3 linked regions of the Macaca fascicularis genome follow. Each later gene encodes a partner of the first gene's protein in a complex. Links are inferred from orthologs where the notes say so. Each region holds a gene or a part of one and is shown in the gene's direction. Other genes may lie near its edges.

The links.
Region 2: TERT (region 1) and WRAP53 share a complex: the UniProt entries of both Homo sapiens proteins name them as parts of the telomerase holoenzyme complex. The link is inferred for Macaca fascicularis from reciprocal best matches to the Homo sapiens genes TERT and WRAP53.
Region 3: TERT (region 1) and NOP10 share a complex: the UniProt entries of both Homo sapiens proteins name them as parts of the telomerase holoenzyme complex. The link is inferred for Macaca fascicularis from reciprocal best matches to the Homo sapiens genes TERT and NOP10.

Annotation. Positions count from the first base shown.
Region 1 is NC_088380.1:1,630,546-1,634,191, reverse strand, and holds part of TERT (telomerase reverse transcriptase), read left to right. Parts: intron 1-1,322; coding exon 1,323-1,518; intron 1,519-3,646. UniProt on the Homo sapiens protein: Telomerase is a ribonucleoprotein enzyme essential for the replication of chromosome termini in most eukaryotes. Active in progenitor and cancer cells. Inactive, or very low activity, in normal somatic cells.
Region 2 is NC_088390.1:7,739,873-7,744,120, forward strand, and holds the start of WRAP53 (telomerase Cajal body protein 1), read left to right. Parts: upstream 1-1,368; 5' UTR 1,369-1,477; intron 1,478-1,563; 5' UTR 1,564-1,564; coding exon 1,565-1,995; intron 1,996-2,139; coding exon 2,140-2,238; intron 2,239-2,505; coding exon 2,506-2,617; intron 2,618-2,889; coding exon of another isoform or gene 2,890-3,180; exon of another isoform or gene 3,181-3,245; intron 3,246-4,248. UniProt on the Homo sapiens protein: RNA chaperone that plays a key role in telomere maintenance and RNA localization to Cajal bodies. Specifically recognizes and binds the Cajal body box (CAB box) present in both small Cajal body RNAs (scaRNAs) and telomerase RNA template component (TERC).
Region 3 is NC_088381.1:10,628,680-10,632,111, reverse strand, and holds NOP10 (H/ACA ribonucleoprotein complex subunit 3), read left to right. Parts: upstream 1-1,477; 5' UTR 1,478-1,557; coding exon 1,558-1,611; intron 1,612-2,515; coding exon 2,516-2,656; 3' UTR 2,657-2,904; downstream 2,905-3,432. UniProt on the Homo sapiens protein: Required for ribosome biogenesis and telomere maintenance. Part of the H/ACA small nucleolar ribonucleoprotein (H/ACA snoRNP) complex, which catalyzes pseudouridylation of rRNA.

The DNA of each region.
Region 1 (3,646 bases):
GAAACATTGCTACCCTTGTCCTGAGCAGTAAGAGCCTTAAGTATATTTTAACTCTGGTCACCACCCCCAGCCTATGTGCTATTTTCCCTGCTGACTTAGTTCTATCTTGGGTATCTTGACACACCCACAAGGTAACCATTATTAATATTGTTTTCCGTGTTCCGTGTTTCTTTAGCTTTGTCCCTGCCCTGCTTTTCCTCCTCTGTTCCCCGTCTGTCTTCTGTCTCAGGCCTGCCTTCTGGGGTCCCCTTCCTTGTCCTTTGCCTGGTTCTTCTGTCTTGTTATTGCTGGTAAACCCCAGCTTTACCTGCACTGTGGCCTCCATGGCTTCTAGTGACGTCCGGGGACCTCTGCTTATGCACAGATGAAGATGTGGAGACTCACGAGAAGGGCGATCATCTTGGCCCGTGAGTGTCTGGAGCACCACGTGGCCGGCGTTCCTTAGCCAGTGGGTGACAGCAGCGTCCGCTCGGCCTGGGTTCAGCCTGGAAAACCCCAGGCACGTTGGGATCTGGGCTCCGTGGTGACGAGTTTGAAATCACACAAACCTACGGTCTGGTGCCAGCCCCGATGTGCTGCCTGGCGGGGAAGTGTCTGCCTCCTCCCTTCTGCTTAGGGACCAGGACAAAGGATGAGGCTTCGAGCCATTGTCATCCAACAGGAGCATGACATGAGCCACGTGGATCATTTTTAAATGTCTAGGCTGGGCGCGGTGGCTCACGCCCGTAATCCCAGCACTTTGGAAGGCCCAGGCGGATGGATCACAAGGTCAGGAGATCGAGACCAACCTGGCCAACATGGTGAAACCCCATCTCTACTAAAAACACAAAAATTAGCCGGGCATGGTGGTGGGTGCCTGTAATCCCAGCCACCTGGGAGGCTGAGGTAGGAGAATCGCTTGAACCGGGGAGTTGGAAGTTGCAGTGAGCTGACATTGCGCCACTGCACTCCAGCCTGGCAACAGAGGGAGACTGTCTCAAAAAAAAAAAAAAAAAAAATAGAGAAAAAGAAAAAAAAATTCTAGCAGCCACATTAAAAAAGTAAAAAAGAAAAGGTGAAATTAACGTAATAATAATTTTACTGAAGCCCAGCACGTCCACAACTCATCATTTAGGGTGTCATTGGTGGGAGCGTCACTCACAGGACATGTGACATTTTTTGTGCTTGATCTGCGGGATCCCGTGTGGGTCCCGTGTGCGGCCATCTCAGCCTGGACCTGCTGGGCTCCCCGTGGCCATGGCTGTCGTACCAGATGGTGCAGGTCTGCGATGAGGTCGCCAGCCCTGCGGTGAGCTGGATGTGCGGTGTCCTTCTCGTTTCAGGGGTGGGCTGTGTGCCGGCCGCAGAGCACCGCCTGCGGGAGGAGATCCTGGCCAAGTTCCTGCACTGGCTGATGAGTGTGTATGTGGTCGAGCTGCTCAGGTCTTTTTTTTATGTCACGGAGACCACGTTTCAGAAGAACAGGCTCTTTTTCTACCGGAAGAGTGTCTGGAGCAAGTTGCAAAGCATTGGAATCAGGTAGTGTAACCCCACGCTGGTCCCCTGCTTCTCGAAGTCCTGCAGCACCAGCCCCGGCCTCAGCGTGCGCCTGTCGTCCCGGCGCCGGTGCTTCCCTGGCTGTGTGGCTCTGGGCTGGGAGCCAGGGCCCCCGTCACAGGCCTGTCCCGAGTGGATTCTGTGCTGGGCTCTGATTGCCCGGAGCTCACTTTCTGTTACTTGTGAAATCAGGAGTTTATGCCAAGTGGTCTCTGGGGTCTGTAAAGCAGAAGCAGTTTATATTGGATGGAAACACTACCACCAGCCTCCTTGCCCCTCCTCGGGATGTGGATCCGATTCTTTCTCTTTTTTTTTTTTTTTTGTTTTTTGAGATGGAGACTTGCTCTGTTGCCCAGGCTAGAGTGCAGTGCCATAATCTTCACTCACTGCAACTTCCACCTCCCGGGTTTAAGCGATTCTCCAGCCTCAGCCTCCTAAGTAGCTGGGATTACAGGCACCTGCCACCACGCCTGGCTAATTTTTGTATTTTTAGTAGAGATGGGCTTTTGCCATGTTGGCCAGGCTGGTCTCGAACTCCTGACCTCAGGTGATCCACCCACCTTGGCCTCCCAGAATGCTTGGTTTATAGGCTGAGCCACTGTGACTGGTCCCCGATTGTCTTTTAATTCATGCTGGTCTGCATGAATCTTTAATCTGCTGGATTTAGGTCACGAGAGGATAAAATCCCACCCTCTTGGTGACTCACTGTGGGGAGCACCTGTGTGGGGAGCACCTGGGGTAGGAGACGTCCATCATGAGCTAACTTCTAGGTGGCTGCGTTTGAATGGCTGCGAGATTTTGTCTGCAGTGTTCAGCTGATAAGAGTGTGAGGGATTGTGGCAGATTCAAGCTGGATTTGCGTCAGTGAGGGACTGGAGTGCTGGGCTGGGAGACATCAGCCTGGCTGAGCCCAGGCCATGATATTAGCTTCTCTGTGTCCCACCCAGGCTGACTGGAGGGCTCGGTGAGGACTCTTTAGTCACAAGGTCAGGGCTTCCCCGGCTCCTCTGCACACTCGAGTCCCTGGGGGGCTTCTCACACCCCATGCCCCAAATCAGGATGTCTGCAGAGGAAGCTGGCAGCAGACCTCATCAGAGGTAACACGGCCTCTGGGCTGGGGACCCCGACGTGGGGCTGGGGCCGTTTCCTCCTGTATCTGGGGGAGAGTCAGGGCTTTCCTTGTGGGAACGAGTTAATACACAATGTGCCCTACTTAGACATTGCACATAGTGAATGGTGTGTGACCCAACGTGGTCATTTGACCAGTGTTTTGGGAAGAATTTAATTGGGGTGACAGGAAGGAGCAGACAGACGTGGTGGTCCCCTAGTCGCTCCTTGTCACGGCTGGAGCTGATGTTCTGCCTGAGGGGCCTCGGAGGCCCCTCCTCCCTGGACAGGGTACTGTGCCTCTTCTGTGCTCGGCTGGGCCTGCGGCCTGGGGTCAGGGTACCAGCCCCGGAGCACCCTCGGGCCCAGCGACCATAGAGCACTAGGCCGTCAGCCGCAGATGCCCAGGTCCAGGTGTGGCCACTCCAGCCCCCCACTCCCCCATGGGTGGTTTTGGGAGAAAATGCCAAAGGGCAGAGGTGTCAGGGAGCTGGTGGGCTCACGGGAGCTGGTTCTGCTCCTTGGCTGAGCTGCCCTGAGCAGCCTCCCCTGCCCGCTCCATTGGAAGGGATGCGGCTCTTTCTGCCTGAGGGTCCTGCCTGGGGCCAGACCTGGGCTACCCAGTGGCTGTACCAGAGGGACAGGCATCCTGTGTGGAGGGAGCATGAGTTCATGTGGCCCCAGATGCAGCCTTGCACCCCATCCTGGGTGGCGGCCACTGGACAGGCAGGCTGGGGGTTGATCATGGGACCAGGTTCCCTGGTGCTGATGGTGGGACAGTCACCCTGGGGGTTGACCACTGGACTGTGCGTTCCTAGGGTTGACTGTAGGACCAGGTGTCCAGGTGCCCTGCAAGTAGAGGGCTCTCGGAGGCGTCTGGCTGGCGTGGGAGGACGTGGCCCCGGGCATGGCCTTCAGTGTGTGCTGCCGTGGGTGTCCCGAGCCCTCACTGAGTCGATGGGGGCTTGTGGCTTCCCGTGAGCTTCCCCCTAGTCTGGCGCCT
Region 2 (4,248 bases), on another chromosome or scaffold:
GTGCAAAGGAGTACCCTTTAGGCCGGCTCAAGGTTCCCCAAAGCTCCACTTCTCTGCCTAGGCGTTCAACTTTGAGTTCGGATGGTCCTAACATCCCCACCATCTACACCCAGGTCTCCCAACAATGCAACTCCTATGTTGATCCCTCTAGCCAAGCTTCCATCCCACTCACCCCCAAACTCGCTAAGTCCCCACTGCCCCACCCCCAGCCCCAGCGATTCTCCCGAGCTGAAAATACACGGAGCCGATAGCCCGTGACTCAGAGAGGACTCATCAAGTTCAGTCAGGAGCTTACCCAATCCTCAGGGAAGCGTGTCACCGTCTTGGAAAGCACGCTCCCAGCCCGGACGCCAAGTGTTCCCGGAGCCCCGCAGCTACCTGCTGCCTGGATGGTGGCTCTAGACTTTTGAGAAGCTCAAAACTTTTAGCGCCAGTCGAGCACATGGGAGGGGAAAACCCCAATCCCATCAACCCCTGCGAGGTTCCTGGCACAAAGCTGGACAGTCGCCATGACAAGTAAGGGCAAGTAATCCGCCCGCTGGAGGAAGCAAAGGAAATGGAATTGGGGAGGAGGGTGCAGAGAGAGTCAGGATTCTTGCCGAACTGGTGCCGTAGATACTAACATTTTGGGGTGGAAAATTCTACAAGCCAGAGCTGTGAGGGCAGAATTGGTGGAAACCATTTTGGAGGAATCCTGCGCTGTGTCAAATATGAAGGGTGGAGGGAAGAAAGCTTTTGCGTTTGCTCTCAGCTGGATCCTTTCTTCTCAACAGCTAAAATGTCATTTTTTAGGAAGGCTTTCCTTAATATCTCACGCTAACGTTTTCTCCCACATACTTTGTATCACACCATCTTGTTTAATCTTCACAATACTTATCACTCTGAAAATATTTGTTAATTGCTTTCAGTACATGGAAACGTAAGCTTTATGAGGATATAGAATTTTTCTACTATCTTATTTATTGTTGTATTCCTCAGTGCCTATATCAGTCCTGGGTAGCAAGTAAGAGCTCGATAATAAATACTTTTTGAATGAAGGAAGAGAGAAAGGTCTGGAGCCTGGAGAACGAGATGAAAAGAGGTACAAGACCTGCAGCGCCCTCTGCAGGCGGCGGGGGATGGTGCAGGTGCTTTAAGAATTACCGCGGGACTCGGTAGGGGGAGCGCAGGCGCTTCTCCCCAAGATAGAAGAGTTTAGACTACAACTCCCAGCAGCCACGAGAAGCCCTAGGGCTTGATGGGAACGGGAAACCTTATAACCTTTCACGTCCCGGCTCCGCGGGTTCCGTGGGTCGCCCGCGAAATCTGATCCGGGATGCAGCGGCCCAATCGGAAGGTGGGCCCAAATCCCGCGACAGCAAGAGGCTCGTAGCGACCTGCGGTGCTAAGGAACGCAGTGCTTTCAAAATTGGCGTCCGCTGTTCGCCTCTCCTCCCGGGAGTCTTCTACCTCCTCCCAGAAGAGGAAGGAAGCACAGGTGGGTTTCATTAGCTCTGCATCGGATCCCTGAGAACTTCGAAGCCATCCTGGCTGAGGCTAATGTCCGCTGTGCTTCCTCTGCAGTATGAAGACTTTGGAGACTCAACCGTTAGCTCCGGACTGCTGTCCCTCAGACCAGGATCCAGCTCCGGCCCATCCTTCTCCCCACGCTTCCCCGATGGATAAAAATGCGGACCCTGAACTGATGCCACCGCCTCTCGAAAGGGAGGATCCGCCCCGGTTGTCCCCAGATCCTGTGGCTGGCTCAGCTGTGTCCCAGGAGCTAGGGGAGGGGGACCCAGTTTCTCTCTCCACTCCCCTGGAAACAGAGTTTGGTGCTCCTAGTGAGTTGAGTCCTCAAATCGAGGAGCAAGAACTTTCTGAAAATACGAGACTTCCTGCAGAAGAAGCAAACGGGAGCCTTTCTGAAGAAGAAGCGAACAGGCCAGAGTTGGGGTCTGAAGAAGCCATGGAAGATGCCTCTGGGGAACCCGCTGCAGAGGACGAGGGAGACACGTAAGTGGTGATGGCAGTGGAGTGTGGAGTCTGGGGAGATGAAGTGTGAGATCGACCTGTCCTCTGGTCCTCAGAACCACTTCTCTAGGCCCCTGCCTCCGTTGCTTGGCGACCCAGGTTTGTTGTCCCCCATCTTCCTTTCAGTGCTTGGAACTACAGCTTCTCCCAGCTGCCTCGATTTCTCAGTGGTTCCTGGTCAGAGTTTAGCACCCAACCTGAGAACTTCTTGAAAGGCTGTAAGTGGTAAGGATAACAACGGGGCAGGGAGCTGACCACCCCCAAGATTTTCACCGTAGAACAGTCCGGTTATCTAGGAGAGGGATGCCCCAGAGCTGGGAGAAGGAGCACGTAGCCCTTTTAGACTGAACTTACATTTTATCTAGCAGTGTGTGTCTTCTCCTTCCCTCAAGGATTCAGGGGGGCTTACCTACCCCAGAGGTAGGCTCAGCCCTAGACCTACACTTGAAAAGCATAGGTCTGGCCAGCTTTGTAACTCTTTCCTGTTTCTAGGGCTCCTGATGGTTCCTGCATCTTGACCAATAGTGCTGATAACATCTTGCGAATTTATAACCTGCCCCCAGAGCTGTACCACGAGGGGGAGCAGGTGGAATATGCAGAAATGGTAAGGACTGGGGCTAACTCGGCCTCTTCCTCAGTGCTGCACATTTAAGTCCTTCATGGAGATGGAGAAAGTGTAGTCCAAGTGCTTCCTGTTCACAAACGGGACTGTTTTTCAAGATGTTTCCACGTCTAGCGTTTTCTGCCCTGAATTCTGAAGTTATTTAGAGAGACGTTTCCCCTTTCTTTAATTAGGAATCTGTGTTTTTCGCTAAAAAGTAGTGAATTTCTTGTGGCAGTATATATGTATTTATATTTATTATTTTTTTGAGACAGGGTCTTGCTCTGAAACCCAGGCTGGAGTGCCGTAGTGCGATCTCAGCTCACCGCAACCTCTGCCTTCTGGGTTCAAGCGATTCTCCTGCCTCAGTCCCCGGAGTAGCTGGTACTTCAGGTGCATGCCATCACACTCGACTCATTTTTGTATTTTTAGTAGAGATGGGGTTTCGCCATGTTGGGCAGGCTGATATCAAATTCCTGACCTCAGATGATCCGCCCACCTTGGCCTCCCAAAGTGTGGGGATTACAGGCGTGAGTCACCGTGCCCGGCCTATAGATATTTATTGATTGACTACTGATACATGTTAGTCACCGTGCTGGGATAAAGTGGTGGACAAGACAGATGAAAGGCTGGTTTGCTTTCTCTGTGGGAGATAGACAACAAATACGTAAACCAGCAGGCATCAGGACCAAGATGATAATAAATGCTCTGAAGGAAATACACAGAATGAAGAGAGACTAACTAGAGGAAAGCACATTGCATAAAATGGTCAGGAAGGAGCTCTCTGACAAGGAGGCATTTCAACTAAGACCTGAAGGAGGATAAGGGGTCAGTCAAGTGAACACTTCCGGAAAGAGCTTTCCAGAAACTGGCAATGATAGTATAAACACCCAGAACTGGGAAATAGCTTTGTGTATTAAAAGACCAGAAAGGCCTGGCACGGTGGCTCACACCTGTAATCCCAGCTACTTGGGAGGCCAAGGTGGGCAGATCACTTGAGGCCAGAAGTTCAAGACTAGCCTGGCCAATATGGTGAAACCCCATCTCTACTAAAAATACAAAAATTAGCTGCATGTAGTGGCACATGCCTGTAATCCCAGCTACTCGTGTGGCTGAGGCAGGAGAATCTCTTAAACTCGGGAGAGGTGGAGGCTGCAGTCAGACAAGACTGTACCACTGCACTTCAGCCTGGGCGACAGAGTGAGACTCCATCTCAAAAAACAACAAAACAGACCAGGCTCGGTGGGTCACACCTGTAATCCCGGCACTTTGGGAAGCTGAGGCAGGCAGATCACCTGAGGTCAGGAGTTCGAGACCAGGCTGGCCAACATGGCAAAAACCCGTCTCTACAAAAATACAAAAATTTGCTGGATGTGATGATGGGTGCCTGTAATCCCAGCTACTTGAGAGACTGAGGCAGGAGAATCACTTGAACCCGAGAGGTGGAGGTTGCAGTGAGCCGAGATCATGCCATTGCACTCCATCTCAAAACAAACAAACAAACAAACACAAAATAAAAAACCCAGAATGCTAGTATAGCCAGACTGAGGCAAGTGAGGGAGATAGCGGGGCGAGGACAGAGAAGAGCAGCCACGTTGTGTTGGGTCTTATGGGTAAGGCATTTGGAGTTTATT
Region 3 (3,432 bases), on another chromosome or scaffold:
CCTGTAACTAGGTTCTCTATCTCAGAGGAAACCAGTATCATCTGTTTCTTGTGAATAATTGCAGAGATTTTTTATTCAACTACAAGTAAATACAAACCATATCTTTTTTTTTTTTTTTTGGGACAGGGTCTCTTGCTCTGTCACCCAAGCTGGAGACCAGTGGCGTGATCTCAGCTCACTGCAACCTCCGCCTCCCGGGTTCAAGCGATTCTCCTGCCTCAGCCTCCCGAGTAGCTGGGACTACAGGTGACCGCCAGCACGTCCCGCTAATTTTTGTATTTTTATTAGTAAAGACGGGGTTTCACCATATTGGCCAGGCTGGTCTTGAACTCCTGACCTTGTGATCCACCTGTCTCGGCCTCTCAAAGTGCTGGGATTACAGGCCTGAGCTACTGCACCCGGTCACAAACCATATTCTTTTTTTCAGACGGAGTGCCACTCTGTCACCCAGGCTGGTGTGCAGTGGCGCTATCTCAGCTCGCTGCAACCTCTGCCTTCCCGGCTCAAATGACTCTCCTGCCTCAGCCTCTGAAGTGGCTGGGACTACAGGCGCCCACCACCACACTCAGCTAATTTTTTCTGTATTTTTAGTAGAGACGGGGTTTCGCCAGATTGGCCAGGCTGGTCTCGAACTCTTGACCTTGTGATCCGCCCGCCTCAGCTTCCCAAAGTGTTGAGATTACAGGCGTGAGCCAACGCGCCCGGCCAAACCATATTCTAAAAAAAAAAAAACCTTGCAGGTTTTTCTGGTTACACAACATATATGCCAACGCTTTTGTCATTATAAATAAGGCGTAATGATGATCTTTGTAATTATATTTTGGTTCTCATTTTCATTTCTTTAAACGAATAAGGAGAACTTCTATATTCTTTAAAAAATTGTAAAATCTCCTAGAAGGTGCACTTTATTACGCTATTATTAGCTACTCACCACTGTAAGAAAGAGCGCTGAATTTGCGGTAGGGACCTAAGTTTAAATCTTGGTTCGACCGCTGAAACATACTTCGTTTCATAAAATAACTTTACGCTATTTTCGCTTTACGGAATATTGATACTCAACATGCATTCTTTACCGCCAACGTTTTGAAATGGAGCAGGGAAACTGGATGTAAAAGAGGGGAGGGAAGAAAACCTCTTCCTTCTTCCCTAGGGCAAAGGGGCTCTGAATCCTGGAGCCCTTGTTTCTTCAGGCACTGGAAACTCACTGCTCCTGAAATGGGTATGTATCTTGAGATAAAGACAAGCTTCTATACGTCAATGTTCTATCCACATCCATCCCTACCCCCCTCTAGCGCCGTGTACCTAGCACACAGTAGGCACACTCCACGTGTTTTAGCCTGCAAAGTTGCAAGTGTGGCCCCCCAAGCCAAGCCCTGCCCTCGTGCGCCCCCTTCTGGCTAGCTGAAAATAAGGCAAAAATTGACTACATTTTCCGGCGTGCCAGGAGAGAGACTTCCGGCTATGCAGGAAGGAAATTGACGAACACGTGACGCGGTCGGGCGGACCCCTGCAGACGGAGCAGCGGAGCGAATTGGGACCTCTGGCTTACGAGCAGTCATGTTTCTCCAGTATTACCTCAACGAGGAGGGAGATCGGGTCTATACGCTGAAGGTGAGGAGAGAAAACAGGTTGTAAATAGGCATGGCGAGAAATGTAGATGGGAGGAATGGGTGAGGCCATACACGGAGTTACCTAGCTGGGTGGAGGGAACCAGAAAGTCCAGAACCGAGGTGGGGGAGAACCGGGAGCGCGCGACGAGTTTTTTATTTAAAAAAAAAAATTGGCCGGGCGCAGTGGCTCACGCCTGTAATCCTAGCACTTTGGGAGGCCGAGGCGTGTGGATTACCTTAGCTCAGGAGTTAGAGACTATTCTGGGCAACACGGTGAAACTACGTTTCTACTAAAATACAAAAAATTAGCCGGGCGTGGCGGCGTGCGCCTGTTTTCCCAGCTACCTGGGAGGCTGAGACAGGAGAATCGCTTAAACCCGGGAGGGGGAGCTTGCAGTAAACCCGGATAGCGCCATTGCACTCACTTTTCTTTTTTTTCTTTTTTTTTTTTTTTTTAAGACAGGGACTCGCTTTGTTGCCTAGGCTGTAGTGCCTCGGCTCACTGCAACCTCCGCCTCCTGGGCTCAAACAATCTTCCTGCCTCAGCCTCCCGAGTAGCTGGGACTACAGGCGTGCGCCACCACACCTGGCTAATTTTTGGTTTAGGGTTTTTTTGTTTGGTTGGTTGGTTTTGTTTGTTTGTTGTAGAGACGAGGTTTCGCCATATTGCCCAGGCTGGTCTCAAACTTCTGACCTCAAGCCATCCTCCTGCCTCGGCCTCCCAAAGTGCTGGGATTACAGGCGTGAGCCACCGCGCCCAGCCTTTTTAAGTTTTGTATTTCTCTATTTATTTGTACAACTTTTTGAGCTGATCATTGCATCTTCTGTTTTCATGTTTGCCCTTTTTCGCGCTGTCCCCACCCCATCACTCCTGTACTGACATTCATTCTCTATTCCCGGAGCAGAAATTTGACCCGATGGGACAACAGACCTGCTCAGCCCATCCTGCTCGGTTCTCCCCAGATGACAAATACTCTCGACACCGAATCACCATCAAGAAACGCTTCAAGGTGCTCATGACCCAGCAACCGCGCCCTGTCCTCTGAAGGCCCCTTAAACTGATGTCTATTCTGCGGCCTGTTACCCCTCGGAGACTCCGTAACCAAACTCCTCAGTCTGTGAGCCCTGATGCCTTTTTGCCAGCCATACTCTGTGGCATCCAATCTCATCCTGGTGATTGAGCATGCTTGTGTGAGGCAGTCATGGTGGCATCACCCATAAAGGGAACACGTTTGACTTTTTTTTTCGTATTTTAAGTTACTACCAGATTATTAAAGATAAAATGATTTGAAAAGCTCTTATTTTGTGTTGTTGGAGGAAAGGATTGGTAGTATTGTTTTAAAGGGAGGGAGATGATGGACGAGAGTACTCCAGAGAGTTGCAACAATACGACTTGGAAGAAAAACTTCAGTCCTGTAGCAAGAGTGGTCATGTGCTGTTAGTGGTAGGAGGGTATTGGGGAAGAAAGATTAAGACTTTCACAGCTGTCAGCATTCACTGAAAAATACCCCTGTTGTCACGTAATTTCTCATCCCTTGAAATAACATTTTGATTAAAAATGGAAGAGTACTTGAAAAAGTAATAGGTATATTATAGAGAGAAGGCAGTGAATTGAAAGAAGACCAATATTTCCTTTTTGTATAACTTTGAGAAAGTTACTTAACCTGTTTAGTCTGATTTTTCTCCTTATTAACTTATCTTTGAACTCATTGATTTAGTGGTGGGCTTTTTTTTTTTTTTAAGACAGTCTCACTCTGTTGTCCAGGCTGGAATGCAGTGGTGGATGACTACAACCTCCGTCTCCCAGGTTCAAGCAATTCTC